Rhinolophus ferrumequinum: one gene and its partner. The protein of the gene in region 1 interacts with the protein of each later gene in a pairwise test. Links are inferred from orthologs where the notes say so. Each region holds a gene or a part of one and is shown on either strand. Other genes may lie near its edges.

Region 1 (15,810 bases):
ACACCCCCCAAAGTCATTCATACTCAGCAGTCACAGCTATAAATGTGTATACACCATCACACACACACACACACACACACACACACACACACACACACACACAGCAGCCCTGCAGCACATCCACCCTGGCACCTGGCTCTCGTCACCCGCCCGCCCGCCTGCTCGCCCTGCCATCTCATGTCCTTGGCCCTGGGCTGCCCTAATCCCGATCTCGTGTCCTGAAGCCAGAAGATAAGGGGCAGCTGCAGCCCCAGATAAAGGAGGCACAGCCACAAATCCGGGGCGGCCCCGGCAGCAGTGGGCACTGAGCCCGGGCCACACCTGCCTTGTTGCTGCCAACCCCATCCCGCCTGGCTGAGAGGGACGGAGAGAGGGCATGGGGGAGATGGAGGAGAGGGTGAGGGGGAAGGGGGAATAGAGGGGGAGAGAGACAGAGAGATGCAGAGAGAGACACACTCACAGAGGAAGAGAAATGTGGAGAGAGATGAGACGCAGACATGGAGGGAAAGAGAAATGTAGAGAAACATACCGTGTTTCCCCGGAAATAAGACCTAGCTAAAAATCAGCTCTAATGCGTCTTTTGGAGCAAAAATTAATACAAGACCTGGTATATTATATTATATTATATTATATTATATTATATTATATTATATTATACCAGGTCTTATATTAAAATAAGACTGGGTCTCATATTAATTTTTGCTCCAAAAGACGCATTAGAGCTGATTGTCCGGCTAGGTCTTATTCTCAGGGAAACAGTATGAAAGAGACAGAGGAACACACAGAAAACAAAATACAGAAAGAGTACCCCCACACACACATTCTGGTACAGAAACAGGAAGAATAAAAGAGACAGGTAGAGAGAGAACTAGTGACTAAGTAGAGCGCCAGCTGCTCCTTCCCCAGGCCCTGCCCCACCCACACTTGGGTGCCTCAGTCATCCCATCTGCTCAGGGGCCCCAGTGCCACCTGTCACCTTCCTGCTTTGGAGAATGATTCAGGCCTGGTTCAGGGCGGTAGGACACCTTCCTCAATGTCCCCACGCTCTCCAGTGTGACCCCCGGGAAGGCTTCAGTCCCCTGCCACAGCCTCAATGAAGGTGGAACCCCTAGAGCAGTGCCCCCTCTGTGCCTCAGTTTCCCCAGCCATGATAAGATGTATTCACTCAGGAAGTGTTCATTGAGCACCCACTGTGTGCCAGGCCCTGTGTTGGGTGCCGAGGACACAGAGTGACCAAGGCAGACCCAATTCCCACCTCCCTGGGCTCACAGTTTAGTGGGGAAGACAAGTGTGTGGCTAGGCAGCTTCAGAATGATCAGGGTGGTGATGGGGGACCCTCAGGCAGCTGCAGAGCCTGTTGGGGGCATTGGACCCATCCCCAGCAAGGGGCCCTCAGAGAGGCTTCCAGAGGAAGAGGAGGTGAGAACTAAAGTGTGAGTGGAATGAGCAAGGTGACTGGGAATAAGGAATAGACTTTCTGGAAGAGGGAACAGCATATGCAAAGGCTAGGAGATAAGACTGTCTCATAGGAAGTCTGGAATGAACTTGGTGTTTGAGTTTAGGGAGTTGGGGGGTGATGAGGGACGAAGCTGGGGAAGACAGCAGGGGTTGGGTCATGCAGGAACTTGGGGACCATGGTCCAGGGCTGGGGCAGTAGGGAGCCATGGGAGCAGGGGAGAGCTATGGACAGATCTGTGTTTTAGAAGGAGCTGTGGGAGGCGGGGCTGTTGGGGGCAGAATGGGAGGAGTCCTGGAAGGCAGGATGACGAGAGAGGGGACTGCCTGGAGAGACTGGAGGGAGAGTAGGCAGCACGTGCAGACTGACAGGCTGCGGGGGGGATAGGCAGGAGGAGAGGCTGAGACCCTGCTCTCTGTTCAGGATGGTGTGGCAGTCCCTGGACAAGGGACCCCTGCGGCCTGTGGATTCAGGTGCAGGTGTGATGAATGCCTGTTCCCTCCATGCAAGTCAGAGAAAGAATACGCGAGTTAATGCATGGAAAGGGCTCGCTGGTACACAGTAAGCACTCAATAATGGCTCGACTACTGGTAAAAATTAATATTATACTGTTAAAATATAATAAATAATAAGCAATTAATATTGTTAATAATAGGGCCAGCCCAGTGGCTCAGGCAGTTAGAGCTCCATGCTCCTGACTCCAAAGGCTGCTGGTTTGATTCCCACATAGGCCAGTGGGCTCTCAACCACAAGGTTGCTGGTTCAACTCCTCGACTCCCGCAAAGGATGGTGGGCAGCACCCCCTGCAACTAAGATTGAACACGGCACCTTGAGCTGAGCTGCCGCTGAGCTCCCGGATGGCTCAGTTGGTTGGAACACGGGCTCTCAACCATAAGGTTGCCAGTTCGAGGCAGCCACCACAGCATGACTAAAGACACTCAGGAAAGAAGACTTCCAGAACTGCTTCAGAAAGTGGCAAGAAAGGCTGCGCCCCCTGCAACTAGCAACGGCAGCTGGACCTGGAGCTGAGCTGCGCTCTCCACAACCAAGATTGAAAGGACAACAACTTGACTTGGAAAAAAGTCCTGGAAGTACACACTGTTCCCCAATAAAGTCCTGTTCCCCTTCCCCAATAAAATCTTAAATATATATAGTCGTTAATGTTAATAGCACAGTTATCAAGGGTCAGTCCACATCTCCCCCTCCGACAGAAAGCCTTCCTGATTGCCTTACACAAAGAGCACAGGGCAGCGCCCCAGAGCCCTGGGAGAGCTCCCCTTGGAGGCTGAGGCCCAGAGACAGGAGGCCATATTCCTGAGGTCTCCCTCTGTGGGCCTGTTTCCCCACCTGTCCAACTGTCTCCCCAGACTGGTTGGGGTGCCTGTGGGATGACAGGGGGAGACTACTGGGACAACCTCAGGGGGCAATGGGATGGGCATCTCGGGAAGAAGAAGTGAGTTCCTGTCCCTGGAGGTGGGTTAAGGGGGGCTGGGCAAGAAGTTTCACAAGAACTGTAGCAGTTTCTTCCAGTTTTAGATTCCCGGATTCCACCATTTTATTCCCAGATTGTCCTACAGAGGGCAGCCGAAGCCAGAGACATGGAAGATAAACTGCTCTCCACCTCGCACCCCAACCCCGCCCACTGCCATTTTCTCCCAGGCCTTGGAAAAACTGGTTCTGAGCCTACTGTGGCCTCAGGCAAATCCTTTCCCTCCTTGGGCCTCAGTTTCCCCATCTGTTACATAAGGAGCACACTCCTCGCCTCATGTTCCTCCCCAGGGACAGCTTTGTCAAGGTTAGCAGTGATATGCAAGGACACCTAAGGGATTGGTTGCTCCCACTCAGCACCATGTTTATGTAAGTCAGGGCAAATAACAGTGATAAAGTAATAACGACACTAGTTGTTAACATTTATTGTTATTCATTAAATTCTTACCTTCCAAAAGGGATATATATTTTTTTTTTGAAAAAAATTTTTTAAAACTTTAATTTATTTTAACTGTGTTTTTCCAGGACCCATCAGCTCCAAGTCAAGTAGTTGTTTCAATCTAGTTGTGGGGGGCGCAGCTCACAGCGGCCCATGTGGGGATCGAACCAGCAACTTTGTTGTTAAGAGCACCACGCTCTAACCCACTGAGCTAACCGGCCGCCCCTACAAGAGATATTTTTATCAGCCGCATTTTTCTGATGAGGAGACCAAGGCAGAGAGAAGCGAAACGATATTCCCAGCTGTCAAGTGGAAGGACTGGGATTCAAACCTGACAGGCTGAGTCCAGAGCCCTGAAGTCCCCGTGCTGCATGAGGCCTCGTCCGGGAACAGAGAGCTTTAAGGGGGGCACAGCAGGGTATGGTGGGGACTGTCACAAATAGTGACTAGATTCATGGTGCATATCTCTCCCACCTCCCTCAGGGTAAAATCCCAAGTCCTCCTGGCAGCCCACAAGCCCCAGGATGACCTGCTCCCCATCTGCTTCCTGCCCCCTCCTCCCTTTCTCCTCCTCCCTCCCTCTGCTCCAGGCACATAGGGTCTCCTGTTTCTCCAACACACCAGTCATGATCTTTGTACTGGCTGTTCCCCCCACCTGGAACACTTTTGCCCCCTATATCCTTGTGGGGACAGAGCCAGGAGTGCAGTTTCCACTGGCTCATTTGGTTAGAGCGTGAGCTCTGAACAACAGGGTTCCTCTCGGCCTCATGCTAAAGGATGCTGGCTCAGGTAGTAAATGGCCATCAACTGTGATGGGATGGCCATCAGCTGTGGCTAGTTGGCCATCGGCTGTAACCAGTGAGCCATTGGCCACGAATATAACTGCTGTGGCTACGCTAGCAGAAAATGGGGGCTAGCAAGAAGATGGTGGCTGGCAAGCGCGGATTGTAGTTAGGACGGCGGGTTGTAGACAGTGTGGCTCCTGCTTCCTGTGTCTCCAACGCAGCCGCCAGCGAGACTATAGTGGTATGACTCCCCTACCTATGGCTCCATGGGTGTTCCTTTTTGGCCTCACCATGTTCTGCGTTCTTATGTGGGGAGCGATAGCTGAGACCCCGCCTGACACCCTGCATGACAATCCCTATGAGGTGTGATCAAATAATACAGTGAATGTTTACATAAAAAAAAGGTATTACAGTAAAAGATACATTGCCATCCCCCTCACTTTGAACACACTTATCCCATCTTTCTTGCCACTTTCTGAAGCAGTTCTGGAAGTCTTCTTTCCTGTGTCTTTAGTCATGCTGTGGTGGCTGCCTCGATGTCCTGAATCATTTTGACTTTGGGGAAGAGCCAGAAGTCACACGGGGCCAGATCCAGTGAATAAGGTGAATGAGAACACACCATAATGTTTTTTGTTTGTTTGTTTTTTATTGGGGAATATTGTTTCTCCAGGACCCATCAGCTTCAAGTCAAGTTGTTGTCCTTCAATCTAGTTGTGGAGGGCGCAGCTCACTGGCCCATGTGGGAATCAAACCGGCGACCTGGGTGTTATGAGCATTGCACTCTAACCAACTGAGCCAACCAGGTCGCCCCATAATGTTTTTATTTGACGGAAATTGCCTTACACCAGAAGTGATGTGGAGTGTTGAGATGATGGAGGATGATTTATGGCACTTTAAAACACACCTTCTCTCAACCATAGCTCACACCTGACTGACTGCAGCTAACAAGTTGAAACTTGTCACCCACTGCTACTAAGGTTCGATTCGCTGCTTCCCTGCCTTTCCTTTGGATGGCACTCGGCAGCAGCATTCACTGTATTTTGTGATCAACCGAAAGGCTCCGTGTCACACATTGCTTCTAGTATGGCAATTTCTGTCAAATAAAAACATTATGGGGCGGCCGGATGGCTCAGTTGGTTAGAGCGTGAGCTCTGAACAACAGAGTTGCTGGTTCAATTCCCACGTGGGCCAGTGAGCTGCGCCATCCACAACTAGGTTGAAAACGACTTGAGTTGGAGCTGATGGGTCCTGGAAAAACACTGTTCCCCAATATTCCCAAATAAAAATTAAAGAAAAGAAAGTGGCAAGAACGATGGGATGTTTTCAAAGCGAGTGGGAATATTTTGAGGGGGCTAATGGCAATGTGTCTTTTACTGTAACAATTTTTTAATTTAAACATTCACCATATTCTTTGATCATACCTCGTATGCTTCTCAAATGTCACTTTCTCAGCGAAGCTTTCCCTGACCATTCTCTCAAATTGCAACCAACCAAGTGGCATTCCCACTTCCCCTTCGTTGCTTCATTACAATTCAACAACATACGGTACCATTTACTTAGGTAGTATGTTCACTGCCCGCCTTCCGCTCTCCTATGCAAGCTCTCAAGGGCACGGATTTTTCGTTTGTTTTATTCATTGCTGCATCCCTGGCATCTAGGGCTGCGTCTACCACACAGGAGCTCAACAAATTATTTGTTGAATGAATGCGCCGCATAAATGTAGTGGAATTAAAAAAAAAGAAACCCAGCAGGAAAACAAAACACGTCTGTGGGCCGATTGGGATCCGCGGGAAAACAGTTCGCGAACGCCTGGATAATCATTGAACGTTTCCGGCTTCCCAGTAGAGGGATCAGTAGTAAACGGAACCCGACTCCCCACCCCCACGCAGGCTCCGCCCTCGTTACGTCGACGCTCGTACATGGCGTCACTTGGAGGGACCCGGCCATGCGCACTTTCCTAGCACGAGCCGGTAAGACACACACGCGACCCGGAAGGCCTTCCCGCCACAGTCCCAAGCGGGCGTGAGAGTGGCCGATGGCAGAGGGTGCGGCGGAGGCCTCAGGAGAGAATGGTGGCGGTGGCGACTCAGGAGCCGGCACGCTGGAACGGGGAGTGGCGCCCATTAAATCTCGGTGAGTCGCAGGGACAGTTGGAGAACCGCACGGGGAACTCGTGGCGTGGCTCGAGCGGTGCATGCCGGGAGATGGGGCAGTCTACGGACGGGAATCTCGCAGTTTCTTCAATCTGGGCCATGTCTCAGCGGCGGTACCTGAGATAACGCATGTTGGGGGCTGCCACATGCAAAAGCGCATGCTAGCGTGGGCGAGGCTTCAGACGAGGGCCACAGTGCATGCTGGGGTCTGTAGTCCCCGTGTATGGCGGGAATAGTGCATATTGAACTCCAAGCAGCCAGTTACACAGGCTGGGACTTGTGTCTTAAGCGAGTACCGCGATGCAGGCTGGGACTTGTAGGGCTGAAAGGCATGCTGGGAAATGTGGTACCTGTGTTCTTCACTGTAAGGCATGCTGGGTCGTGTAGTTTTTTTTAGCCTAATGTGGCCAAAGGTATTCATACCTGATAACCTGTAATTTGGCTCAACATTCAGCAGGGACAAAATATGTCCTGTCTGTGGCCTTGAGGTGCTCCCAGGCTGGCACCTGGCCAGTTCTAAGTAGTGAGTTCCGTATCAGCGGAAGCACATAAGCAGAGAAAAGTGTTCTTAGTCCTTTTCCCCAGAGTTCACTGAGTCTTGAGCTCAGTGGAGCTCAGACAAGCCTACCTTTCCCTCCCTTCCCTGCGGGCAGATACCTTACCACCAAGGAGCAGTTCCACGAATTCCTGGAAGCCAGAGGGCAGGAAAAGTCCAGCCGGAAAACCAAGGCAGGAGACCTTGGTGGCCATGACCCTGCTGGGTCTGAGGCCAAGCGGATCCGCCTGGAGGATGGAGACGGGCAGACGGAGGAGGCAGCTGAGTACAGGGAGGAGCCTCAGGCTCAGAAGAGAGCCCGGGGCCAGAACAAGGGCCGGCCCCACCTGAAGCCCAACCACTATGACAAGAACAGGCTCTGCCCCTCCCTGGTCCAGGTGAGTGTCACTGTCACAAGCAAGTCCCAGAGGTCTTCAGTCTGTGCCTCTCTGTCCCCTATTCAATCCTCATGATGTTATGATATAAATATCGTTATCATTCTGATCTTCCAGATGAAGAAACCGAGGCACAGTGAGGTTACTGACTTGCTCACGGACACACAACCAGGAAGGGAGGGATCTGAGGTTCAAAGCCTGACCACCCCAGCCTCTCCCTGTCTTCCGTCACTGCGTCCCTGTTTCCTTGCAGGAATCGGCTGCTAAGTGCTTTTTTGGTGATCGCTGCCGCTTCCTGCATGACGTGGGCCTCTACCTGGAGACCAAGCCAGCTGACCTGGGTCCCTGCTGTGTACTATTCGAGACTTACGGCAGGTGCCCATATGGTGTGACCTGTCGCTTTGCTGGGGCTCATCTGGGGCCCGAGGGCCAGAATCTGGTACAAAAGGAGGTGGTCCCGGCCCCGCCTATCCGCAACAGTCTGGACAAGGCCCTCCAGCAGCAGCTGCGAAAGCGCAAGATCCACTTTGAGCGTGCAGAGCAGGCCCTGCACCAGCTAGGAAAGGGCCACCAGCCAGGCTCCACCCCACCTGCCACTGTCCCCGAGGTCATGGGGGCTGAGGGTACGCCAGGACAGGACAACTGTGATGCCCAGCAGGCCCCCCGGGGGCCCGGCGCCGGCACCCCTCCCAGCATCCCTGAGCAAACCTGCGGGCCCCTGACCGATGAGGACATAGTCAGGCTGCGACCCTGTGAGAAGAGGCGGGTATGTGTCACAGGCTTCCTGTTGACACTAGTAGTGTGGGGGGCAGAAGGAGCTGGACACACTCCTAGCCGCAGAGTCAGGACTGGGGCAGAGGAAGGCAGTGGGAAAGGCTTCCTGGAAGAAGCGTTAGAACTGGGGTTTTGATAGTTGACTAGAAGTTCTCTAATAGAGACCATGGAGAAAAGAACATTTCTCATAGAGGGTTGGTTGACATGTGCAGAGGCCCAGATGTAAAAAGGTGGTAGGCTGGTGGGGCAGGGCAAAACGTTCTATAATGTGGTGAGAAGGGAAGCCCCGAAAGTCAGATTGAAGGGTAGAGCTTCACTGTTGCGTGTTCCTTCTCTCCAGCTTGACATCGGTGGCAAACTGTACCTGGCGCCCCTCACCACGGTAGGACCCACGTGGGGTGGGCTGGGTGGTGGCAGTGTGGTCACCCCAACAGTGCCCAGTGCGTGCTGGTCTTGGGGTTGGGGCAGATGTCTGGGGTCCCTGCCTGTCCCACCCTCAAGTGTGTGTGTCCCCGCTGTTCCTAGTGTGGGAACCTGCCCTTCCGGCGGATCTGTAAACGCTTTGGGGCCGATGTGACGTGTGGGGAGATGGCCGTCTGCACCAACCTGCTGCAGGGCCAGACATCCGAGTGGGCCCTGCTCAAACGCCACCCGTGTGAGGATATCTTTGGTGTCCAGGTTGGTGCTGCCCAGAGGGAGGGAGGAAGAGGGAAGAGGGGCTTCTGCTGCCAAGATTCGGAGCAAGGTTCGGGGTCCTGTCTCTTGGCTCCCAGGGCTGGCTCAGTCTCCTCCCAGGCCCCTCTCACCTCAGCCATGGGCCGGGGCACCAGCCTGATGCACTTCCAAGGGCTGCTGGCCTTGGCATGGGGCCAGGCATGGCGGTCAGCACTGGCCCTCACCCCCCCCACCCCGCCACCTGCCACAGCTGGAGGGCGCCTTCCCCGACACCATGACCAAGTGTGCCGAGCTGCTGAACCGCACCATAGAGGTGGATTTTGTGGATATCAATGTTGGCTGCCCCATCGACCTCGTGTACAAGAAGGTAGCAGCCACTTGGCTCCAGACCCCAGAGTGGGCAAGGTGTGGGTGGGGTGGAGGCCTGGGACCCGGCCTTGCTCCTGCCCGAGTCACTGCGGACCTACGGGGCCCTCTGTGCCGCAGTTTCCCCACGTATACAGCAAGGGCAGCTAGGGGTGTCGGGCCCAGGCTGGGTCCTACCTTTCCTCGCTCCAGCTGCCTGTCTCTCCCAGGGCGGGGGCTGTGCCCTCATGAACCGCTCGGCCAAGTTCCAGCAGATTGTCCGCTGCATGAACCAGGTACGCCCCACGATGGCCCCACCTTCCCTGCCTGACCTTGGGCCGCGCTGACCACAACCATTCCTGCAGGTGCTGGATGTGCCCCTGACTGTAAAGATCCGCACAGGCGTCCAGGAGCGTGTGAACCTGGCACACCAGCTGCTGCCCAAGCTTCGGGACTGGGGGGCAGCCCTGGTCACGGTGGGTCTCGGGGCACAGCGGGTGTTGGGACTTCGGGGGCACTTCGGCGACCCTTTCTAATGGGCTATGTCTACCCCTCCTCCCCATCCATGTTGGCCCTTCCTCCATCTCTCCCTCCTGTCGTCTGTCTCTCTGTCTGTCTCTGTCTGTCTCAGCCTGGGTCTCTCTGGGTCTCTCTCTCTCTCTCTGTCTGATGCTCCCCCTCCCCGGACCTGCCTGCCCTCCCCATGTGGCCACATTTCCAGCTCCACGGTCGCTCTCGAGAGCAGCGCTACACCAAGCTGGCCGACTGGCAGTACATCGAGCAGTGTGTGACGGCGGCCAGCCCTATGCCCCTGTTTGGTGGGTCCCCTGCCACTCAGCTCAGACCTGCCTGCCAGCCCTGCCATCAAAGTCCATGCACACCTGGGCCCACCTCCCATCTGGCACCCCTCCCTGCCCCCGTGGGGAGCACTGGGCTGGCAGAACTCCCCAAGCTGCCTGCATGCAGCTCCCTGAGGCCCCATCTCTGTCCCTCAGGAAATGGGGACATCTTGTCATATGAGGACACTAACCGTGCCCTGCAGACTGGTGTCGCTGGGGTCATGATTGCCCGGTGAGTGTGCCCGGTGCCTGGGGGGCTACAGAGAACTGTCTGGAGCTGCCCCTGAGCGTGTAGCCTGCAGCTCAGGGAGGGTGAGGTGTGTCTGAGCTTTCTCACTTTTGTCATGCTACCCCCCAGCCCAGCTGCCTCACCTCCTGGTCCATTTGTCCCCAGTGGGTGGCTTTGTCAGGAAGGGATACACGGAGATGGCAGGGGCCAGGAGGACTGGAAATTTCTACAGCTGTGGGATTGGAGTTGGGGGTTGGAGCTCTGGCTTCAAAGGTTGTACGAACACAGCTGGAGAGTCTGGGACTATGGATTTGGGGGCCGCTGACCGCCCCTGCCCCACAGCGGCGCCCTGCTCAAGCCGTGGCTTTTCACGGAGATCAAGGAGCAGCGACACTGGGACATCTCGTCCTCTGAGCGCCTGGACATCCTGCGGGACTTCACCCACTACGGCCTGGAGCACTGGGGCTCGGACACGCAGGGTGTGGAGAAGACCCGCCGCTTCCTCCTCGAATGGCTCTCCTTCCTGTGCAGGTGGGCACGGGGTGACTGGTGTGGGGGTGTTGGTGGCAGGCCAGCCTGGCCCAACACTGTCCCCCACCTGCCCACAGGTATGTGCCGGTGGGCCTGCTGGAACGGCTGCCACAGAGGATCAACGAGCGGCCCCCCTACTACCTGGGCCGAGACTACCTGGAGACGCTCATGGCCAGCCAGAAGGCCTCCGACTGGATCCGCATCAGGTACCGGGAACCGAGGCACTGGGGGCGGGGGCGTCCTGCGCAGGGTGGCCCGGGACTCAGGCCTGACTCTGCCCCCCGCCCCCCTCCTCACAGTGAGATGCTGCTGGGACCTGTGCCGCCCAATTTCGTCTTCCTGCCAAAACACAAGGCCAATGCATACAAGTAGCTTTGGGGGTAGGAGGGGTGTCGGAGGGGCTCCCTAGTGCTTGAGAAGACAATAAATTTTATTCTTTTTAAAATCCAGGCCTGTGACTCTGAGGTTGCCCCTTCCTACTCCTGGGACCTTTCCCTGGACACCCTGTCCCTCACAGCTCCCTTCCTCCCTCCTGATTCAGTCACTCCCAAGGTCCTAGCCCCATGCTGACCGCTGCTGGTACCCAGATAGGCCTTGACCACAAAGAAGCCACCAGGGCTCTTGAGGGACGTGTTCCTCAGCCTGCGTGGGTGTGGTTCAGGGCAGGCTGCCTGGAGGAAGAGGCCTCAGAGCAGCAGATTAGGCCCAGGGTCCACCCCACCCTTTGTGACATGTGTCTTTGGCTGCCTTGGTTTCCCATTCTATCTCTGCCCACTCCCCACCCCCGGAACCCTGACCAGTGGGTGGGCTACGGGCTGGAATCTGCCACCCGGAGTAACCAGGCAAACAGAACTCTGGGACTCTGAGCCTGTTCTCCAGGTGAACTGCCTGTGCTCCCATCTGCCACCCTCCTGGCCTGCCTGGGCTGGGCCCCCCACCTCCCCATGCAGCACCCCAAACCCTTCTACGCTCCTACAGTTTCCCAAGAAGGCTTCAGTCCCCGGGGCCTGGATGGCACCGAGGGGCTGGTCAGCCAACCCACTCCCACCTGCATGGAGCCTCTTCCCACTGTGGGTATGAGTCGGGGAGCAGTGGTTGGGGGCACCTGATGGGATGGGGACCAGGGCTCTGCCCACCAGCCTCAGGACCCCACCTACCCACCTGCCTTTGTTCACAGGTTCCTCCAACCTGTACCACCCCCCAAACCCAGAGAAAGAGGTGTTTCCAGCCCCTCCGGCAGGTACCAGCCTCTGCCCAACCCTTGACGAGGCCCTGGGAGTTGGTTGGAGCGGGCAGGGCCGTCTTGCCTCCACCCCATCCCTCGACAGCCCCCTAAAAGCAGGGCTTGTGTCTCTGTCAACCCAAAGGGGCCTGTGTCCCCCATCCAGACAAGGCCTGTGCTCTTGTCTCCCACACAGGTCCCCCAAAAAAAGGCCTGTGTCCCTGGGCTCCCATGGTTTGGCTGTGTCCCCACCACCACCATGTCCCACGTTGCCTCCCCCAGGCAGGCGGGTCCTAGCCATGCCCCTCTCAGGGCTGCCCCTCCCCGGCCCACAGGTTTCCAGATGGCACCCTGCGGCTGCTTCTTTGACCCCCGCATTTACCGAATTGAGTGGGCTACCACCGACTTCGGCCAGTCGTCCCTGTATAAGCTGGCAGCAGTGGGCGGCGGGGGGACAGCAGGGAGCCCCGCCTTGGCAGGCACCTACCTGCTAGAGCCCCAGCACTACCTCAAGGCCTCGGTGCCACCCCCACTGCCCCCACCGTACCCCCACTTCCAGCCAGCACCTGGGGGCCCCCAGTACCTCATGCCCTTCTTCCCGCCCGAGGGGCCCGGGCCTGAGGCCCTGGGCTTCGTGGGGGATGGGGGGGCCCCCACCTTCATGGAGCTGCCCCCACCCCTGCTCAAGGAAAGCCTGGTGCCCCCTCCACCACTGCTGCCCCCCAAGGAGAACAAGCTGCCCCCTCTACACGTTACGTTGCCCACTGAGGCTGCGCTGCCCCCTGGCACCTATGGCCACCTCAAGGGCCGCCTGAGCCAGTTCCACGGGCCCGGGGAGCCCCTGGCCTTCCCTACCAAGGAGCTGCAGGGCGGTGGCACTGGGCCGGGCCCCGTGGAGCCCAAGGCTGCTGAGGCGGAGACAGCCCCACTGGGGGCGGGCCAGGCCAGACACCCCGAGGCAGCGAGGACCTTCATGTTGCCTGAGAAGGTGCTGCTAGAGGACGCCATGAAGCTGTTCGACTGCCTGCCGGGGGTCACCGAGCCTGAGGGGTCCCCGTGCAAGGCCCTGGGGCCAGCCCTACCCAATAACCGTGGCGACGGGGACGACTCCTCCGGCGACATCCGCTCGCTGTGCCTGCCGGATGAGCTGCTGTCCTTCGACTACAGCGTGCCCGAGATCCTGGACACTGTGTCCCACGTGGACTCCCTTTTCAACTTCAAGGCGCTGGATGAGGAGCTGCCGCCCCGCCCAGGGCCCCCCGCCGCCACCACCACAGCCCCTCGGGCTGAGCCCGAGAGAAAGAGAAAGGCCGGTGCCTCAGCCACCAAGAAGGGGAGGCAGGGAGGCAAGAGCAGGCAGGCCTCGGGCCTGGCCAGCGCCACCCCTTCGGGACCCAGGCAGGACCTGGAAGCCACCCCCCATTAAAGCGGATTTGACTTCAGCTCATTGTCCACTCGGTGCATTGGGGGGCAGTGGGCTGGGGACACTCACCCCATTGTCCAGTTGGCCTAGGGCCATGAGGGGAGGCCCCTCAGGACCGCAGGCCCCCAGTGCTTCCTGGCTGCCAGGCTTCCAGTCTGAGGCTGGATCCCTCCACTCGGGATTCTGGATCCCTCCACTCGGGATTCTAAATCCCACGTGTCCTAGCTCTGGAAAATCAGTCGGCCAGCAAGGGAGGGGCTTTTGGAAAGTGGGGAGACACCACCCAGACTCCAGCACTGGAAGGATTTCCTCAATATTTGGGGAGGAAAGTCAAGGCTGCCCAGAGACGGCAGGAACTTGCCTGGAGACACAGCAAGCAGGGTGGGCCCTGGGAGTGGCCCCCACCTCCACGTCTCCAGTCCAAACCACCACTGGCTGAGGGAGGGGGAGGCCTGTGAGGGGCCTGTGGCCTGGGCTCTGCCTCAGCCACTGCCCCCTAGTGGAGGGGTTGGGGTGGCGCTTGGCAGGGAGGGGTTGCCATGGTGAATAGGAAAGACTCCTATTCAGGCAGACCTGGGGGCTGTGGGGGCAGGTGCTGGATGGAGGTGGAGGCACCTGATGGCCTGAGGGTGGGGACTGGCCAGGGAGGTGGAAGGCAGTGCCCACCTGGCACACAGGTGACCTGAAACAGGCCCACCTGTAATGGGGGTGTGCAGAGTGCACCAAGTGAGGGCATCCAGCTGGGCCCCGAGTGCCAGTTCTCTCCGTTGGGCCCCGTGCAGGAGTTCTGCATTCAGGTGGCAGGCACAGGACAGCCCCCAGTGTGGGTGTCCGTTATTGCTCACACCTGCTGCTTCCTGCCCTGGCTCCTCCCCTTCAGGCCCACACAGCTCCTCTTCCCAGGGGTCGTGTCTGGTCCAGCCTCTCTTCAACATTTCTGGAGGGAGGGCCCCGGGGGCAGCTGCTGGCTATGGCCTACCCTGAAATGCTCAAGGTGACTGAAGGGGCAACTTGGTTTCCCAGGTAACATGTAAGGAATCAGGAATCAAAAAGAGATGGAAGGAGGCCTCCCCGCCTCTCCCGCTGCAGGGGAGGAAGGGGCCCTCCTGCCCCAGGCCCTGGGCTGGGTTGGGGATGGGTGGGCTTGACTAGAATTTGGAGGTGGTTGGACGAGGGGAGGACAGGGTTGGGAACTAAAACCTGGTGCCTCCCATGTGCCCAGCACCAAAGCCACAAGCCTATGGTGCCACCGGCCTACGTGGCTTATCTCCCTGAACGCTTATTTCAAAACGCAGGGGAGTGGAGACGCGTGTGCTGTCCAGGCAGTGGTCTCTCCATCCCAGGCATCGCTTACATTTGTCCCCACCCATCTCTGTTCTGAACCACACGGGCCTGGAGAAGCCTGGAGCCCATTTCCCTAGGCTTCCCTCTCAGCCCCTCTCCCTGAAGTAGCATTGGGGTATTTTGAGGTGAAAATCAAGTGTCCCCGACGAAGGGAAGGCCCTGGCAAAGGAGGGGGAGGACCCAGGAGGATGAGCTCATTTTTTTGAAGATGAATGCAGACGAGGGTCAGGAAGCCAGTGTTACCTAACAACCTAAGAGACTGGAGGGTGGGTGGGGCCCAGCCAGCTCAGCCCTGATGGGTGGGGCAACTGGTCACCGCACTGTACTTGGGGGTAGAAGTTTCAACGACTGGATTGAGACTGCACTGGACAATTTTAAATGATGGCAGGGTATATATTTTTTTAACCTAAGAGTAATCAGGAAAGTCGTGGGACCCCACCCCAAGTTTTCACTTAGGATGAGATAGATGGCTGCCTCCATGCCACCTGGATTTAAAATGAAGTCCTCCCACTGATGGATGGACGGAAAGAATATCCATATTCATTGTATATATTTATACATACGACCTATATACATGCATGCATGTATATACGCACACATTATATACATATGTATACATGCATGTGTATTCTCACACACATGATCTATACACGCATGTGTGTACACATATGTACACATTATCTACCTATGTATATATATTTATATCACAGGCATAAACACATATGCATGTGTATATACATCCATACACGTGCATAAGCAGATACGTGTGTATACATATGCCTGCACTTGTGTGTGCATACTATATATACATTTGTATGTACATATTACACACAGGTATACACACATATATGTATACACACATGCCTACATAGCATACACACATGCATATGTGTGTGTATACATGTGTATATAGATATGTATACATGTCTATATGCACATGTATAAATAACATGTATGCATGGAAAATATATGCTTCCAAACTTTTATTCATGTACATGGCAAGCACATATGTATGTGTTCGTTTGCACATGTGTTAGGATTTATAAACACAGAGATGGGATCCCACCAATGTGTCTTCTACAGACTCCCCCGCTTTTCCTCAGGTCTTAACCTTCTCTAACAGCACACGTCACTGTCTTACCTTTCTCCAAGGACTGCCTGTCACTCCACTGTCTGC
Region 2 (16,412 bases), on another chromosome or scaffold:
CCCAGCACCCCGCAGACCATGCAGGGGGCACACCGTAGAACCCAGAGCTTCTGCTTTCCCTATGCAACGCTCTCCCCGGTACTCTGCCCTAAAAGTCCTAGTCAGCTGGGGCTCCCCAAAGTCTGCTCTGTCTCCTCAAGTCAGGATACTGGCCAGCTGTATCCTGCAGCCTAGAACATTCCTCCAGAGAGAGGCTGGGCTCAAGTAGAACTCACCTGGACGTTCTCCTTCTGCGATCACTGCCGTGCACTGCGTGTTATCTCCTGCCTGAAAAGCACTGTTTCACATTGAGTCCAGTTTTTTAATTTTAATTATTTATTTTTTGCTGGCTGCTTGTGATTTATTTTCCACTTGGTGCATTGTGTCCAGTTTTTTTGATGTTTAAAGTGGTAGACCATATGATCATAAATGGAAGCTGGTATTATTCATTTTTACACTGTAATAAGCTAAGTAGACCCATTGTGATTTCTAACAAAACTACTACCGTGTTTCCTTGAAAATAAGACCTGGTCTTATGTTAAGTTGTGCTCCAAAAGACACATAAGGGCCTTATGTTCAGGGGATGTCATCCTGAAAAACATGCTAGGGCTTATTTTCCGGTTAGGTCTTATTTTCGGGAAAACATGGTATTAGGTTGGTGCAAAAGTAATTGCAGTTTAAAAGGTTAAAAATACCACAATTAATTTGCACCAACCTAAAAAAAAACTCAGAGTAAATAACTTTTAATGTGTGTGTAATAAAATGAGTGATGAAGAATAATCAAAAGGGGCGGCCGGATGGCTCAGTTGGTTAGAGCGTGAGCTCTCAACAACAAGGTTGCTGGTTCAATTCCCACAGGGGATGGTGGGCCGCACTCCCTGCAACTAAAGATTGAAAATGGCAACTGGACTTGGAGCTGAGCTGCGCCCTCCACAACTACATTGAAGGACAACGACTTGGAGCCGATGGGCCCTGGAGAAACACACTGTTCCCCAATATTCCCCAATTAAATTTAAAAAAAAAATCAAAAGAAGATACAAAAGGAGAGTACATGCCAATGATTTTTATTCAATGAAAATGGACAAAATATTACAGTTAACAAAGATTGTCACCTTAAAAAAAAAGCAAAACCAACACAACTCTCTGCTGTTTACAAGACACAACTAATTTGTAAAGATATAGAAAGGCTGAAAGTAAAAGAATAGCTCTGAAAGTAAAAGAATAGATAAAAGTTAGACTATGTCAATACTCATAAAAACAAGACTGGCATCACTAGGTTAATTTCAGATAAGATACATTTTAAGGCAAGAATAATAGAGAAACAGAAGAGCCTACTGTTATAGCTGGAGACTCAGGGTCCTCTGTCAGACTGGACAGGTCTAGCAGACGAAAAATCAGTAAGGACATGGTTGAACTCAACCATCATCCAACTGGATAGAGTGGACATCAAAGACCACGCCCTCCAGCAACAGCAGAACACGCGTTCTTCTCAAGCTCACGTGGCACATTCACCTCAACAGACCACACTCTCGGCCATAACACTCCTTAACACGTTGAAAATGATAGAAACATAGTGTCTGCTCTCAGACACACGGAATTAAACTAGAAATCAGTAACAAAAAGGTAGCTGAGAAATTCCAAAATATCTGGAGATTAAACATACTTCTAAATAACTCATGGGTCAAAGAAGAAATCACAAGAGAAATTTTAAAATATTTTGAACAAAATGAAAATGAATCATTAAAATTTGTGGGATGCAGCAAAGTCAGTGCTTAGAGGGGATTTGTAGTATTTAATGCATATATTAAAAAAAAGAAAGACCTATAATCAATAACCTAAGCTTCTACTGTAGTGTATTGGAAAAACAAGAGCAAATTAAATCCAAAGTAAGCAGAAGAAATAAAAATTTAGAGCAGAAATTGATGACACTGAAAAGAGAAAATCAATAGAGAAAAAGCAATGAAATCAAAAGCTGGTTCTTTGAAAAGAGCAATAAAATCAAGAAGTCTCTAGCCAGGTAAACTAGAAAAAAAATAAAGGACAATATATATAAATATCCAATCATTATTATTGTGTATGTTGACCTTAAACAAAAATTCAGCCAGATATTTCTCCAGCAGAATGGATTTATTTGGAAACAACGAAGAATTGTAATCTGGAACACGCAACCATGGTTGGTGGGCCACAAGCAATCACTGAAAACGAAGGAAACTTCTACAGCCAGGAAGAGGAAGTTGGGAGGGTTATTATAACACAACAGAGTGCGATCTGGGGAGTGAGAGCTCCCTCTTCTGGTCTCCCTACTTCATTTCAGGTGAGGTTTCTACTAATTTTTATGTACACCCGAAACTAATATATTGGTGTTTGTCAATTATATCTCAATTTTTAAAAAAGGAGAGGACCCGAATTACTAACATCAAAAATAAAACATGGGACATCACTACAGATCCCATGGACATTAAAAAGGATAATAAAGGACACTGTGAACAACTCTGTGCCCAAAATTTTTTTTCTAGAAATTGACAAGTGATTCTACAATGTATATAGAAATGTGAAAGACCAAAAATAGCCAAAATAACTTTGCAAAAGAACAAAGTTGGAGAACTAACACTACCTGACTTCAAGACTTATTATAAAGCTACAGTAACCAAGACAGTGTGGTATTAGTGTACAGCTAGATAGTGAAAATAAATCAGGATAGAAAACAGTCCAGAAATAGACCCATACATACATGGACAACAGATTTTTAACAAAGGTTCAAAGGCAGTTCATTTGAGAAAGAACAGTCTTTTCAACAAATAGTGTTGGGACAATTAGATATCCATATCTAAAAACAAAAATTTTGACTTTCTAATTTCGCAATGTAATAAATAGATGTAATGAGGCATCATGTTATTTTAATTTGGATTTTTCAGGTTTTAGTGATAAGTTAAGCATCTCTTTGTTAAGTCTCAGGGATCTGGTTCCCCTCCTATTAACTGCCTTTTCTTATCGTTTGCCCAGTTCTCTATTGGATTGCCTGTCTTTTTCTCACCAATTTACAGGCATTTCTTTTTACATTCTAAATGTTAATCCACTGGTGCTTTTTGATGGTTTTTGATATTGCAAATGCCTCCTTCTAGTGGTCTGTCTTCTCTTTGTTAACCCAGTGGTTAAGCAGAATTCTTCCTGATGACTCACAATTGATTTCAAGGACATGAGACTGAGGACATATACACCAAGCACTGAATATTCCACAGAAAGCCACAAATGGGGTCAACGCAATTTGGATTGTTTCAAATTTTTGGCCATTATGAATATGAATAAAGCTGCTATGAACATTTGCATCCAGTTAACAAAGATTTTCATCTCAGTCAAGCAATGGTTACAGTTCAAGCGTTGTTTGATATACGGGGTTTTATTCCAATCGGCTCTTCCCCGGTAAGTGCATTGTCACTAAATTTGATGTTTAATCACCTGCAAAACTATTTCTCCACCTCAAAAACTTAGTTATTTAACTTAAACTTCTTTTAGCTTTAGCATCACTTACTCCAGAACCTTACCTGTTAGTCAGTGCCATGAGGGACTTCTTTTGCTGAATCAGGTAATAGTGCTTGAATACTGGAAGAAACATTGCTTCAAGTGTGTGTGTGTGTGTGTGAGCTCTTCACAATGTAATGACAACAGACACAACATGCTTTCTTCATTGTTAGCATTTTCTCCATCACTTTCTTAAGCCTGGACAATCAACCAGTCAGTCCTGCCCTGATGTGTAGCTCTTGCCCGTTCCCGGGGTGTAAACACGCCCACCATGGCTGAGTCCGAGCTGCCCGTGCAACCTCAGTGAACATAGAGTTGGGAGGAGTTGGGCAGCACTCCAGCTGGGCTACCGGCAGTCCTCACCTAACATCATCGGTAGGTTCTTGGAAACTGCGACTTGAAGCGAAACGACGTATAAGGAAACCAGTTTTACCCTCGGCTAATTTGTATAAACCAGAGCTAAGTTCCTACGGCATATTTCTAGTCACAAACACATCGCCAAACTTCCAAATAAACACCCAAAACACTTCTAATATTAAACACTGAAGTAAATGTGAGCTCCACATACATTTAAGAACAATTAATAAAAACAAGGAAGGTCGTGATTTTCCAACCCGCTTATTCCAGTTCAGGGTCACAGGTGGCCAGAGTCTGTCCCGGCAGCTCAGGGCACAAGGGGGGTCCCGCCCCGGACAGGAGGCCCTGCCATCACATGGTGCACCCACGCCCACTTGCTCACACTGGGACAATGTAGACACACCATTCACCTCATGAGCACATCTTTGGGACGCGGGAGGAAACGGGAGGACCAGAGAAGATGAGGGGAGAAGGTGCACACTCCACAGAGACCGTGGCCCAGGCTGCGGATGCATTTTTTTCTCATCAGCGTTATAACAAAATGTACAGCATTTCCCCCGTTCAGTTACACTGGACGTAAATAACATCTAGAGTATGGGCAAGAGTGAGATGAAGTAAAATGCCTTGTAAAAGGTAAAGAAATAAAATGAATACAATAAAGTTTAATTTTTGATAATGGCTGTTTTGAATGACAGGCTTAGAAAATTCCTGAAAATTAACAATAGTTCTTGCAAGCCTGTACAAGCTGGCTCTAGCACACAACTGGGAGGGGACGTGCAGCCCCCCTTGGCAGCCCTCTATGACATTACAGGGGTGCCATTTGGCCAATACCCCTCTCTGGGCCTGTACCTCCCAAACCCTTACCCATAGTCCTTGGGGGACTCGTACAAGCGTCCTCATCATAGATTGTCTGTAAGGTGGGCAAGTGGACGCGATGTGAAGGTTTAATCCTAGGGGAATGGAGACGAAAATGTGGTGGACACGAGACTCGGTACAATCCCATCTCTGTCCACTGAAGACACAAACACACATAAGAACTCTTTACGTTTGTCAAAGACATATTCCAAACACACTAGAGTAGGGGTGAGATGTCTGAGGACAGGAGAGCTTTGGGACTGATGGTGGAAGGAAGAAAAATAGACTCCAATGAAATAAAACCAGAGGTGGGCCTCATCCCAACCAATGAGGACCCTGGTCTGAGGGGTCTAACTGCTGATCTCTCCACGGCCCAGGTACAGAAAGAAGGGCAAGGCAGTAGGTGCCCCCAACCCCGTTCCCCAAATGTTCTCGATGAAGTAGAAGGCTAGAGCCTATGGGCAAGAAGGGCAGGGGGAGGTCAGACGGAAAATGTGGGCACAAGCATTGTTTCGGGAGGTGAGGTCCAGGTTGTGATAGGGGAGGGGCGCAGGGAAGGGATGTGGTGGGGAGACCTCCTGAGCCCGAGGTGCTCCGTGTGCAGGCCACTCACTGCCTGCAGCCTCTCTCACCCTGAGCTGCAGTGTCACCTCCTCAGAGATGTGGCCCTGGCTGTGCCACGGTAAACAAGTCCCCACTCATCTCAGTTTGTGACCGCACTAGGGAGTCCCTCCAGTTTGTTGTCCTGGCCCACTAGAGGCCCACCGGCGCCTGTGAGCCCTGTGACAGAGACCACTGGAGGCAGGTGAAGAAGCTGGCCTGGTGGGAAGGGGCTGGCCAGGGCAGGACAGGGCCCCCCTCCAGACGGAGGGGCACTCAGCTTTTGGTTAAAGCCCTGATTTTGTGCCTTCACTGATTATGCACAAGACTAACTCAGGGCTGCGGGTGGTAAGCACCCCATTGCCCCCAAGGCAGGGCTGATTCCCTTTCAAAAGGTACCTGACCACTGATCCCCCTTTGGGCATCTGGAAAACGCAGGCCCAAACCTGGCAGGTGCAGATGTCAGACCTGGAAGGCCACCTGCAGCTGACCCTGAGGACGTGGAGCAGCTGCAGGCATAGCCACTTGCCCTTTCTTGGGACAGCTGCCTGGCAAATGGCAATCACAGGGGTACTAGGGACCAGAGAGACTGGCCAGGCTTGAGAAAGCTTGCCCCAGTCCTTTTAGACATAATTTGCATAAAACTGCACTCCCATCACTCCCTGTACACCTGCCCAGCTCTTCTGTCCACACCACCTTCACCTCTGTAGACTGCCCACTCCCCTGGGTCACGGGACCCACGAAGGCAAAGGTCTGGGTCTCACTATTGTACCCCCAGCACCCAGATGTGAACGTACAACAGGCTACGTGGCAGGCCTGACAAGCTCAGTGACCAACAGTAACCATACACGGTCAGATCATAAATCCCTAACTGGGCAGGTCATAGTGGGTAGTCACGTGCCAGGACTACAGCTTCCTTAGCAAAGGTTGGTCTTTACCTTGGGCTCATCAAGGATAACGTACCTTTGAAATGTCAGAGTAATTCTCTTTTACAGACACCTCAGAGGCACAACTGCTGGCACCAGAGCAAGAGCACGGCAGTCCTGTTACCTTGCCCCCCGCATACCATCTGTCTGTGCTGTAAATGTGTCGTGAGTGGGACGTGGCTGTGACGGTAGCCGTTTCACACACGTTGGTGTCTTTCCACAACGTCAGACTTTATTAGAATAAAGCGTGGATCTAGCCCTGCTGACTTGGTTTCCCACGGGCGTTAACCGAGGCTCTGGTCGGGGACAGCCTCCAATAGCGAGGGAGGGCGGTTTCACACAGGAGGGTCACACGGGTTTGCAAGTAACAGGGTGAGGCGAGGCGAACAGAGTCTAGGAAAGAAGGATGAGAGAGTCCGGTGTCCAGCGAGAGTCCTCCGGTGCTGGGCTGCGGAGTGTCGGGCGGCAGGTGGGCTGGTGACACGGTCAGGAGGCGAGGCTTCAAGCGCCGCCTCTGGGACGAGTGCAGGTGCTGCTGTCAGCTGGTCGGCTGAGGCCTGAGCGAGGAGCCGTCAGTGAGCTCTGATCTTTTATGCTCGAGACGGGGGGCGGTGCCCCCTCCTGCAGTCCCAGGAAGCATCGTCCAGGTGGTCACACTCCACGTTTTCACGTGACGCCCTGGCATGACGGTCACTCTGTGACTGACATAGCTATCAGAATGACTAGATTCCGTTTTGTGTCCCTAAGTCATGCTCTGTACAAAATGTTTAGTGTTAATTGCCCTGCACCCACCCGTGTAAAGCGGTGTCTCTCCGTCTTACTTTTTATCCAGTCCCAGAAACTGCCCGCCTGGCTTTCTCCGCCTCCTAACCTGCCACCTGTGGATTCCACGTGCCTACCTTCTCTCCTTCCATTCTAAATGCATACAAAGAACTGCAAAATTGCTCTTCCGTGAGCATTTTCTCAGTCCTTTGAGATTTTGCTTCTAGCCGGCCCTCAGATTTGGCTCAAATAAACTCCCAGGGAAATTCTCCGTCCCTTTCATGAGCGCAGCATAGTGCCAGGCACACAGTAGGTGCTCAGCCCGTCTGGACTGCTGAAGGAATGAATGAAAGCTGGACCTGGCTCTCTTTGACAAAGGCGCTCCTAAATGTCTGTCTGACCTGGACCCCTCCCTCGGGAGGCGTGGGGAGGCCTGAGCCGGATGCCCGCGCTGCTCAAGCCCTGGGATCCATGGCGGGAACAGTCGAGAGCCTCGGCCCAGAGCCGCCGCGCCCACACGCCACACCGGCGCGACATCTCCGTCTCTCTTGACGTCACCCTCCGCGGCTGTTTCAGAGAGCCGGTCGTGGGCGCCGCCATGTTACTCAAGGGCGGCCGGCAGGCCTTCGCGGGCGTCACCACGAAGCGTCTCGCCGAGGCCCCGCCCCGCCTGTGACGTCACCGCAGCCTGCTCGGGCGGGCGCCGCCATGTTGGGGGTCCTCGCCATGGGCGCGTAGGTGTCTTCATAAGATGCCGGCACGGCGGCGGCGCCCGGCTTTCCCCCCCCAAGATGGCGTCCATGCGGGAGAGCGACACGGGCCTGTGGCTGCACAACAAGCTGGGGGCCACAGACGAGCTGTGGGCGCCGCCCAGCATCGCGTCCCTGCTCACGGCCGCGGTCATCGACAACATCCGCCTCTGCTTCCACAGCCTCTCGTCGGCCGTAAAGCTCAAGCTGTTGCTTGGGACGCTGCACCTCCCGCGCCGCACGGTGGACGAGGTGAGGCGGGCGGCGTTGGGGGCGCAGGGCCTGCCTTCCACCTCGCGGCCGTGCTCCTTAGACCCGAGACCCCGGCCCTTACTGTCCCCCCAGCCCCCCTGTCACAGCACCCCCTCCCCCGACCCTCACAGTCCCCCTCAGCCCCCCCACTCTCACAGCCCCCCATTTTCACGCCCCCCACCTTTAGCCCCCCCACTTTCACACACCCCACCCTTAGCCTCCCACTTTCACGCCCCCCACCCTCAGCCCCCCCACCCTCACAGCCCCCCACTTTCACGCCCCCCACCCTCACAGCCCCCCTTCTCAGGCCGCACTGGGTTTTCCGCGCTCCCGGTAGAACTTTCCAGCGGCTCCCCTCACGGCACACCCCTTCCCCCACCCTCATTGCCCCTCCCCCGACCGTCACCCTCACAGGCCCCCTTATTCTGGGTGAGGAAAAGCGGAGCCCTTCGGCCTGCAGGGGAGTTTGGGGAGCAGGGCAGCGGGGATGGATGCGAACCCCGAGCCGCCATCGGGCACCTGTTAGGGCACCACCTGTTAGCGCCGGTGGCGGTGCGTGCCTGTGCGTGTTTGCGGGAGGGCGCGGAGGTTAGTGCCCTGATGTGGGGGTGCGAGTCTGTCCGGGTTTCCCTGGGTCCCTGAAAGCCGCGCAGAGGGCAGAGCTGGCCGCGATGGCCTGCGGAGAACTTTCCAGTGACTGTGGACCGCGTGTTGTTATTTTTAGCCCACAGAGTGGCCACACACTTAGGTCCCTCGGTACTCCCGGGCTTCGCCGCACGCCCGTTTCTGCAGCATCCTGATGCGGGTGACACTGCCTGTCCGGGAACGGCGTGTTGCGGGTTCTTCGTGCAGTGAACCCCGTAGTTGTTGGACGTTTCCCCCACTCCTGTTCGGTCCCTTACGATTGCATGTTAGGTTTGTGCCTGTTTTATTGTGAGCGCGAACGCACGCACAAGTGCCAGTTTGTTCAGTTCAGGCGGGGGTCCCGCAAAGCCACCCAAAGCGCACGCAGGCGCCTCGGAAGCCTTGCCCACCTGGCCCCAGGGGCAGCCTGCTGATCTGCGCTGTCACTTAGGCTGTGGGTTTGTTTCTGGGCTCTCCTCTGTTCCTGTAGGCTACGTATTAATGACACTAAGCCTCTTTGTGCCACTTTCTAGCTCAGTAAGTCTTGATAGCTAACGGCGCAGACCCGCCCACTTTATTCTTCAGGGTCTGTGGCTCTTCTTGGCCCTTTGCACTTCCGTGTGTGTTACCTTCACTTCTCAGGTTACACGTACGCCCACGTACAACTTGGGGTTTGATTAAGACTGAGTTGCATTTATAGTTCATTCTGGGGTTAAATCGTCTTAATAATATTGACTCTCATGAATTATTAATATAGGCATATCTCAACTTACATCTTTAATATTTGGGTTTGCGTTTCGTTTGTTTTAGCGTGGAGACAACCTGGTCACTGCTGCTCCGGATTGAGTCCTCTCTTGGACACCTCCGTGAGCATCCAGAAACAGTTGGGTTCTTGTTATTTCAAAAATACGTGAACAGTCTTGACCTTGGCAGGGGTGTGCTCCTGAGAGAGGAGGGACCAGGCCCAGCAGGCTCCTCGTGCTCCGAGCAGCCCCAGGCCCTGCTTTGGCTTTGCCCCTGCCGGACTTGGCTGCCAGAGAACACCGCTCCCGCATTACAAGCTCCTAGATCGTCTTTAATGTTAATATTTGTTGTAAAGCTGCATGATTTTCTCAGCAGACGCCTTCCAGTTTCTGTTAGATATTTCATGTTTTCTCGTGCTGATATAAATATCCGTTAAAATTTTATTTTTAGATGAGTTTGTGAATAGCATCTGTGCTAGTCTTACTAATTGCAATAATGTTCCTGTAGAATCTTCATTTTTCTGTGCACTTAACTCTTATTTTATTTCTCTTTCCAATTGCTATTCATTCATTCATTCATTCATTCATTCATTCATTCATTTGCCTTATTGCATTCACCAGGACACTCCAGTACATTGTTTCTGGCCACACTGTCGCGTCCAGCGCAACACAGGCTGTAAGGGGACGAGAAGGGGTGGCGTTGGGTTAAGTTTTAAGGAAGAAAGAAACAGAGACTTAATGCAGTTAAATCTCAGAAGGCCAGGGGTCTCACAGTTCTGAAAGACTGGAGCCCAGAATCGAGCTGACTGGTGGCTTTTATTGATTATCATACAAGGAAGTAGCATTGTCTTTTCCACAGTCTGTGAATCTCATACATCATACCAGAAAAATGATTCAAACCAATCACGCTTGCCTGTAAACAGCCGAAACAGAAAGTCCCATGGTGTCTTAACAATGGTGGTATGTCCTCCTTAGGGACAGGTCTCTCATGCTGACACTTAATTGTAGGGTTAGAGGGGAGAGCTGATTGTATCGCTCTCACAATCAGGTGAGAGGGGAAAGCCGGAGTCAGCAGTGGCTTTTTCTAGGCAGCGGGAAGGGGAGGCAAGCAAGGCCCCTTCCCAGATCTTCCAAGGCAGCTAGCTCATTGGGGGTCCCCACATGGTTCTGCTTGGCTTAAGTTGCCCCCCCATGGGGAATCTTACTCATCATTGGCTGCAAACCATCTTTTGGGGACCAGACAGAGAGACATGAGGTGTAAAACATCAAGATAAAACAAAGTCCCAGAAAGGCACAGTCTCACAGACCCGTCTTTCCTCAAGGAAAGACATGGGGCGACAGTCGGCTAGGTTGCTGTGTGACAGCAACACTGGAAGAACTTTGAATATTTGCCAATAAGTATGTTTCCTATTATTTTTGGCAGATATTTTTTACTGGTTAAGGAAATTCCCTTCTGTTCCTAGATTAAAAAAAAAAACTATTTTAATCATGAATGAGTTTTTTGTAACAGTTCTATTGAGACAACTCACACATCACAGAATTCACCCATTCAGTATGTACAGTTGAATTGGTTTTTAATATATTCAGAGTTGTGCAGCTGTCATCTTAGTCAATTTTAGAACATTTTTCACCAACCCCAAAATAAACTCTGTTACCTGTTAGCAGGCTTCTCCCCCACACACACCTTCCAGCCTAGGCAACCACTAATCTACTTTCGGTGTCTGTGGGTTTGCCTCTTTTGGACATTTCATGTCAATGGAATTAGGGTTTCTAGGTGGGAATTCCCGCCCGTTCTCAGGATTTTTTTCCACTTTCCCGTTCCCAAATCCTGAGATATAAACTGTTTTCTGTTCTCCACGATGAATCGTCTCCACAAAGTGATAGCTGATACTACCAACCACCTAGGTTCAAGGAGCCTATTTTCCCGATTTCCCCACCAAATTTTATCAGGATTCGGGAATGGAAAAGCGAAAAAAATTCCCGAGAATGGGTGGGAATTCCCTCCCGGAAACCCTAGCGATAAATAGGGAAAATGTTTAAGAGATACATTGTGCATAGTACCTTTATTTCCCATTGTGGGTATTACTGGGTTCAAGGAGCCGATTTTTGCGATTTCCCAACCAACTTTTCTCGGGATTCAGGAATAAGAAAGCAAAAAAATTTCCTGAGAACGGTGGGAATTCCCACCTGGAAACCCTACAAGGAATCATATAATATGTGGTCTTTTGTGACTGGCTGGCTCCTTTCACTTAGCATAATATTTTCAAGGTTTATCTAGATTAGTAACGTCAATATTTCATTCCTTTTTTAAGACAGAATGAAGTTCCACTATATTGATAGACCACATTTTATTCATCAATTACTCATCAGCTGATGGACATTTGGGTTGTTTCAAGTTTTTGTCTAGTATTACGAATAATGCTGCTGTGGAAATTCATGACAAGTTTTTATGGACATATGTTTTATATTTTCAGTGTGGACATATGTTTTCAATTCTCAGGTATATACCTAGAAGCGTCATGTGGTAACTATGGTTAACGTTTTGAGGAACTTCCACACTGTTTTCTGCAGTGGCTGCACCATTTTTACATTTTACACCAGTGATTTTTGAGTGTTCTAAGTTCTCACATCCTTGCCAACCCTTGCTTTATATATATATATGTGTGTGTGTAAATATATGTACATATATACACACACACAGACATATATACACACATGTATGCACATGTATATACATATACATGTATATATATCACGGGTGCCAGAAAAATGTACACACATTATAAGAGCTGTTATCTATGTATTACTTTTTGAAGTTGAATTGAATTATGTAGCAATGTGTAGTATGACGTTCACTCAGACAGAGTTAATCAAATAAATGCTAGCGTTATTCATTGTATTACTTCTTCCCCCCCCCCAACTCTGAGTCAAGCTGTTCTCAGTCTAGTTGTGGAGGACACTGCCCATTGACCCATGTGGGAATTGAACTGGTGACCTTGCTATTATGAGCACTGCGCTCTAACCAGCTGAGCCAGTCAGCCACTGCTCATGGTGGCTCAGCTCCAAGTCAAGCCGTTATTTTCAGTCTAGTTGTGGAGGGCGCAGCTCACAATGGCCCATGTGGGAATCAAACCAGCAACCTTGATGTTATGAGCACAGCGCTCCAACCACCTGAGCCACCGGCCGCTCTGTATTACATTTTTAATACAGTTTTTTCCTTTCTTAAAATGTGTATACATTGTTTTGACACTGTGTGTGTGTGTGTGTGTGTGTATGTGTGTGTATATATATATATATATGGTAATAAATTTGAAGTTTTAGTAGAATGGCCAACTCCCTAGAAAAATATAACATCAAATCTTAACATAAAACCAAAAATCAGTACTCAAAAATCTTCCCACAAAGAAAATCCAGGTCCCCCGGATGGCTTTATTACTAAGTTCTACCAAATGTTTGTGTGTATGTGTGTGTGTGTGTGTGTGTATGGTGTGAACATGAATGAATTTTTAATCAGATGTTTAAAGTATCTGTTGATGTGTAACTCACCACATTAACAGACAGGATTAATCGTAAACCAACCTTGCATTCCTAACTTGGTCATTTTATATTGGATTATTTTGTTCTGATATTTTGTGCAGGAATTTTGTGTTTTTGTTCATGGATGAGATTAGCCTCTAATTTTACTTTCCCAGACTGTCTGATTTTTGGTATTAAAGTTACACTACTGTTATTAAAGGAGTTACAGCGTATCCTCTATATTCCTCTTCTTTGTAAAGTTTGTTTACTAATGGAATTATTTCTTCCTAAATGTTTGGTAGAGCTTAGTAATAGAGCCATCTGGGGGACCTGGATTTTTTTTGTGGGAAGAGTTTTGAGTATTGAGTTTTGTTTTTATGTTAAGTAAAGGTTTGATGTTGTATTTTCCCAAGGAGTTGACCATTCTACTAAAACTTCAAATTTGTTAGCATAAAATAGTTAATATCTTTTTAACATCAGAAGCATGTACAGCGATGTTCCTTTTTTTTTCTTTGATCCATCTCACCAGATGTTTGTCAATTTTATAAGCTTTTTTGAAGTACCAATTTTTGGCTTTATTGATACTCTGTTTTCTGTTTAACTAATTTGTGCACTTTATTTTCTTCTGCTTTCTTTGTATTTATTTTGTTATTGTTTTCTAATCTCTTAAGATGGATGCTGACCTCTGTTTTTCAGCTTTTCTAAAATATACATATAAAGCCATAAATTTTCTTATATCACAGCTTTAGTTTCATCTTACAAGTTTTGATAGTGTTTTTATTATCAAGTCACAGTATTTTCTAATTTCTGTGATGATTTCTTCACTGACAATGCTTGTGTAATTTAAAAATGTTTTTAATTTCTATACATCAAAGGGGGGAGAGGTTTTAGTTTTTATTAGTGATTTCTAGTATATTGAGTATTTGTCAGAGAATGTAGTCTAATAACTTGTCATTCGAAATTTAAAATTTGCTTAATGGCATAGTATGTGGTCAGTTTTTGTAAACATTGTGAGTGAGCTTGAAAAGCATGTTTATTCTCTAGTTTTGAGATCCATTGCCCAGTATGTGTTCATTATGTCAAATTTGTTTAATTGTGTTGTACAGGTCTACTGTACTCTTACTGATCTTTTAAAAATTATTTTATCAATTAGTGAGAGGGGTTTGTGGATCTTTACTATGGTTATGGACTTCTCTATTCCTCATAGTTTTATCAACTTTAGCTTCATATATTTTGAGACTATGTTACTAGGTACATGCAAGTTTAGAATTCTTATGGTTGCCTGGTAAACTGAATCATGGGTCTTTATGTCTGGTAGTGTTTTATCCGTAAACTCTGTTTCTGTCCAGACCAATATAGGTATAGCTTTCTTTCATTGGTGTGTGTGTGTGTGGTGTGTGTGTGTGTGTGTGTGTGTGTGTAGTTTGTCCTTGGACTTTGTCCGTATTACAGAAAATTATAATAAAGGATTCATTTAGCTAGATATAGATAGCAAAAGAACTAGGCCATTATGAGTAATTTACTTTTCTAAAAAGCATTTTTATTTATTTTCTTGGTATTAAAAAAATCTTTCTAAGACATCCTAATTCACTTAGTTGTCTTAGTTATTTTTTTCAGTTCTTTAAGGGTCTTGATACCTTAGGGATGTCATTCTGAAGATTAAGCCTTTGTGCACAGGACCATATGCAGGGGGCCTAGATGACCGTGCTGGGTGTGTTCCACGCTGTTATTAGACCAGCTTCTCCGGAGAACCAGAAGCTCTAGGGGTGTGTGTGTGCATGCGCGTGTACGCCCTGTACCTACCTAAATACGCCAAAGGGCCTTTATTAAAAGGAATCGCCTTTGTGTGATTGTCGCATCTGAGGAGTTGCAAGATCTGTAGCCAACAAGCCTCAGACCCCGGGTAGCCATGTGTGGTTCCTGTCCAAAAGCCAGCAGGCTGGAGACCCAAGAAGAGCCCATGTTTCGGTTCAGATCCAGAGACTGGATTTGACTGGCGCAGTAGCCAGTAGAGTAACTAGGGCCGTTGCTTAGAAGAGGTCTCCCAGGCATCTGTTAGACGCAAAGAAATTCTTGGAAGTTAGGTTTGTCGCTATAGGGTTGTTTTCTTTTTCTCTTTCTTTTTTTTTTTTTTTTTTTTTTTTTAACACTCTCCAGTAAAATGGCTAGAACAATTTGGGAGGAGTTAAAGAACAAATAAAAGCAATCAATTTGTAACATCAAGAAAACCAGCACAACTGGCGAACAGTCTTCAGTCCTGGGTGTCTACTCAGCTTAGTTTTTTGATTTGGGTCAGTAGACAATCTGTCGTATAATAGGAAAACATTTTTTTCTAGCCATGATGGTTTTACAAAATCTAAGGGGGTGCGGTGCCTTGATGGGTCACTCTCCTTGGTGCAGCCATTCCTCAAGTCTTTGTGGGGTTTTAAGCACCTGGCTGTACAGGACATCAACAGCTAGACCATGAGATCCAGTATGCAATTAGACCAGCAATGAGAATAGTTTGCAGTCCACACCTTAAAATAGTTCTGAACCAAAATTTTAACCCAATCAGCTAATGGCACTTGCAGTGAAACTGGAATGTCCCTTAAGGGATTTTGTGAGTTTAAGAAGCTTGGTTGTTTCTGATTCTACCTGGAAAGTGGAATTTATCCAGCAAGAGGCATTAGCTATGGCACAAAGTCCTCCCTGGGCTGCAGGCACGTAATCTAAAGCGCTCCTGTTGTCGAGGACTGCTCGAGCTCGGGAAACTAAAGATCTTTGTCGAGCTCTGCTGTTTCTAGTGGCTGAGCCATTCCACTAACTGTTGTCATTAGATATCACATCATTGTGTCCAACTAAGCAGTGCCAGGGCCAGCGCAGTGCCTGCAGTTCTGAGGGAGTGGTTGCCTCCCCCCAAATATTAATCTCACCGTTCTGCACCTGCGCCGTCTTGGAATGGTGAGGATTCAGCTGTATCTGAGAAGAGCTGAGAGGAATGGAACTGACGGAAATCCTGACGTGCTTTTACATGTTTTTTACTGATGGCTTTTGAAAACTATACAACTGGATTTATTTGCTATGTACATGAATTAGTGTTGGAATAAAGTACCGTTTACATCCACAGAAGTACCAGAATCATACTCAGGTTTACAAAGAGGCGAAATAGTTTGTTTACCATGCAGATTACTGTGAAATCTGTAATAGTTAATAGAACAAAATCCTTATGAATATAGTACTAATGTGTAGCACCAATTAAGTAAGCAGCTCAGGTTAATATGGGTAAAGACCCAATACCTCTGAATTTCTAAGCTTTCACCTCAGTATTAACGTGGTTCCACCTAAGGAAACGTTACCCCGGGAGAAGGGAGATCTTAGAGGCTCCGCCCCATCAGTGCGCTGCATCTTTCAGAGGCGAAAAGGGAACAGTTCAATCTCCCTACCACTTGCCCGTCCTCAGGATAGAGTTTATCGCAGTGTCTGGGCTAAGCTAGGTGCTCTCAAGGATCCCGGAAGCTGATTTCTAGGTTCCAGAACACGGGCAGCCTGTC

Evidence for each region.
Region 2: the proteins of PRR22 (region 1) and NELFA interact in a two-hybrid assay, tested with the Homo sapiens proteins (2 studies listed by BioGRID). The two-hybrid records come from large-scale screens. The link is inferred for Rhinolophus ferrumequinum from reciprocal best matches to the Homo sapiens genes PRR22 and NELFA.

What each region holds. Positions count from the first base shown.
Region 1 is NC_046301.1:58,341,169-58,356,978, forward strand, and holds PRR22 (proline-rich protein 22), read left to right. Parts: upstream 1-11,317; 5' UTR 11,318-11,588; coding exon 11,589-11,718; intron 11,719-11,821; coding exon 11,822-11,884; intron 11,885-12,201; coding exon 12,202-13,292; 3' UTR 13,293-13,293; downstream 13,294-15,810. Other genes in the region: DUS3L (tRNA-dihydrouridine(47) synthase [NAD(P)(+)]-like), read left to right, coding at 6,204-6,301, 6,975-7,254, 7,505-8,017, 8,366-8,407, 8,551-8,703, 8,951-9,067, 9,276-9,341, 9,411-9,521 and 5 more.
Region 2 is NC_046288.1:87,028,060-87,044,471, forward strand, and holds the start of NELFA (negative elongation factor A), read left to right. Parts: upstream 1-7,735; 5' UTR 7,736-7,789; coding exon 7,790-7,999; intron 8,000-16,412. UniProt on the Homo sapiens protein: Essential component of the NELF complex, a complex that negatively regulates the elongation of transcription by RNA polymerase II.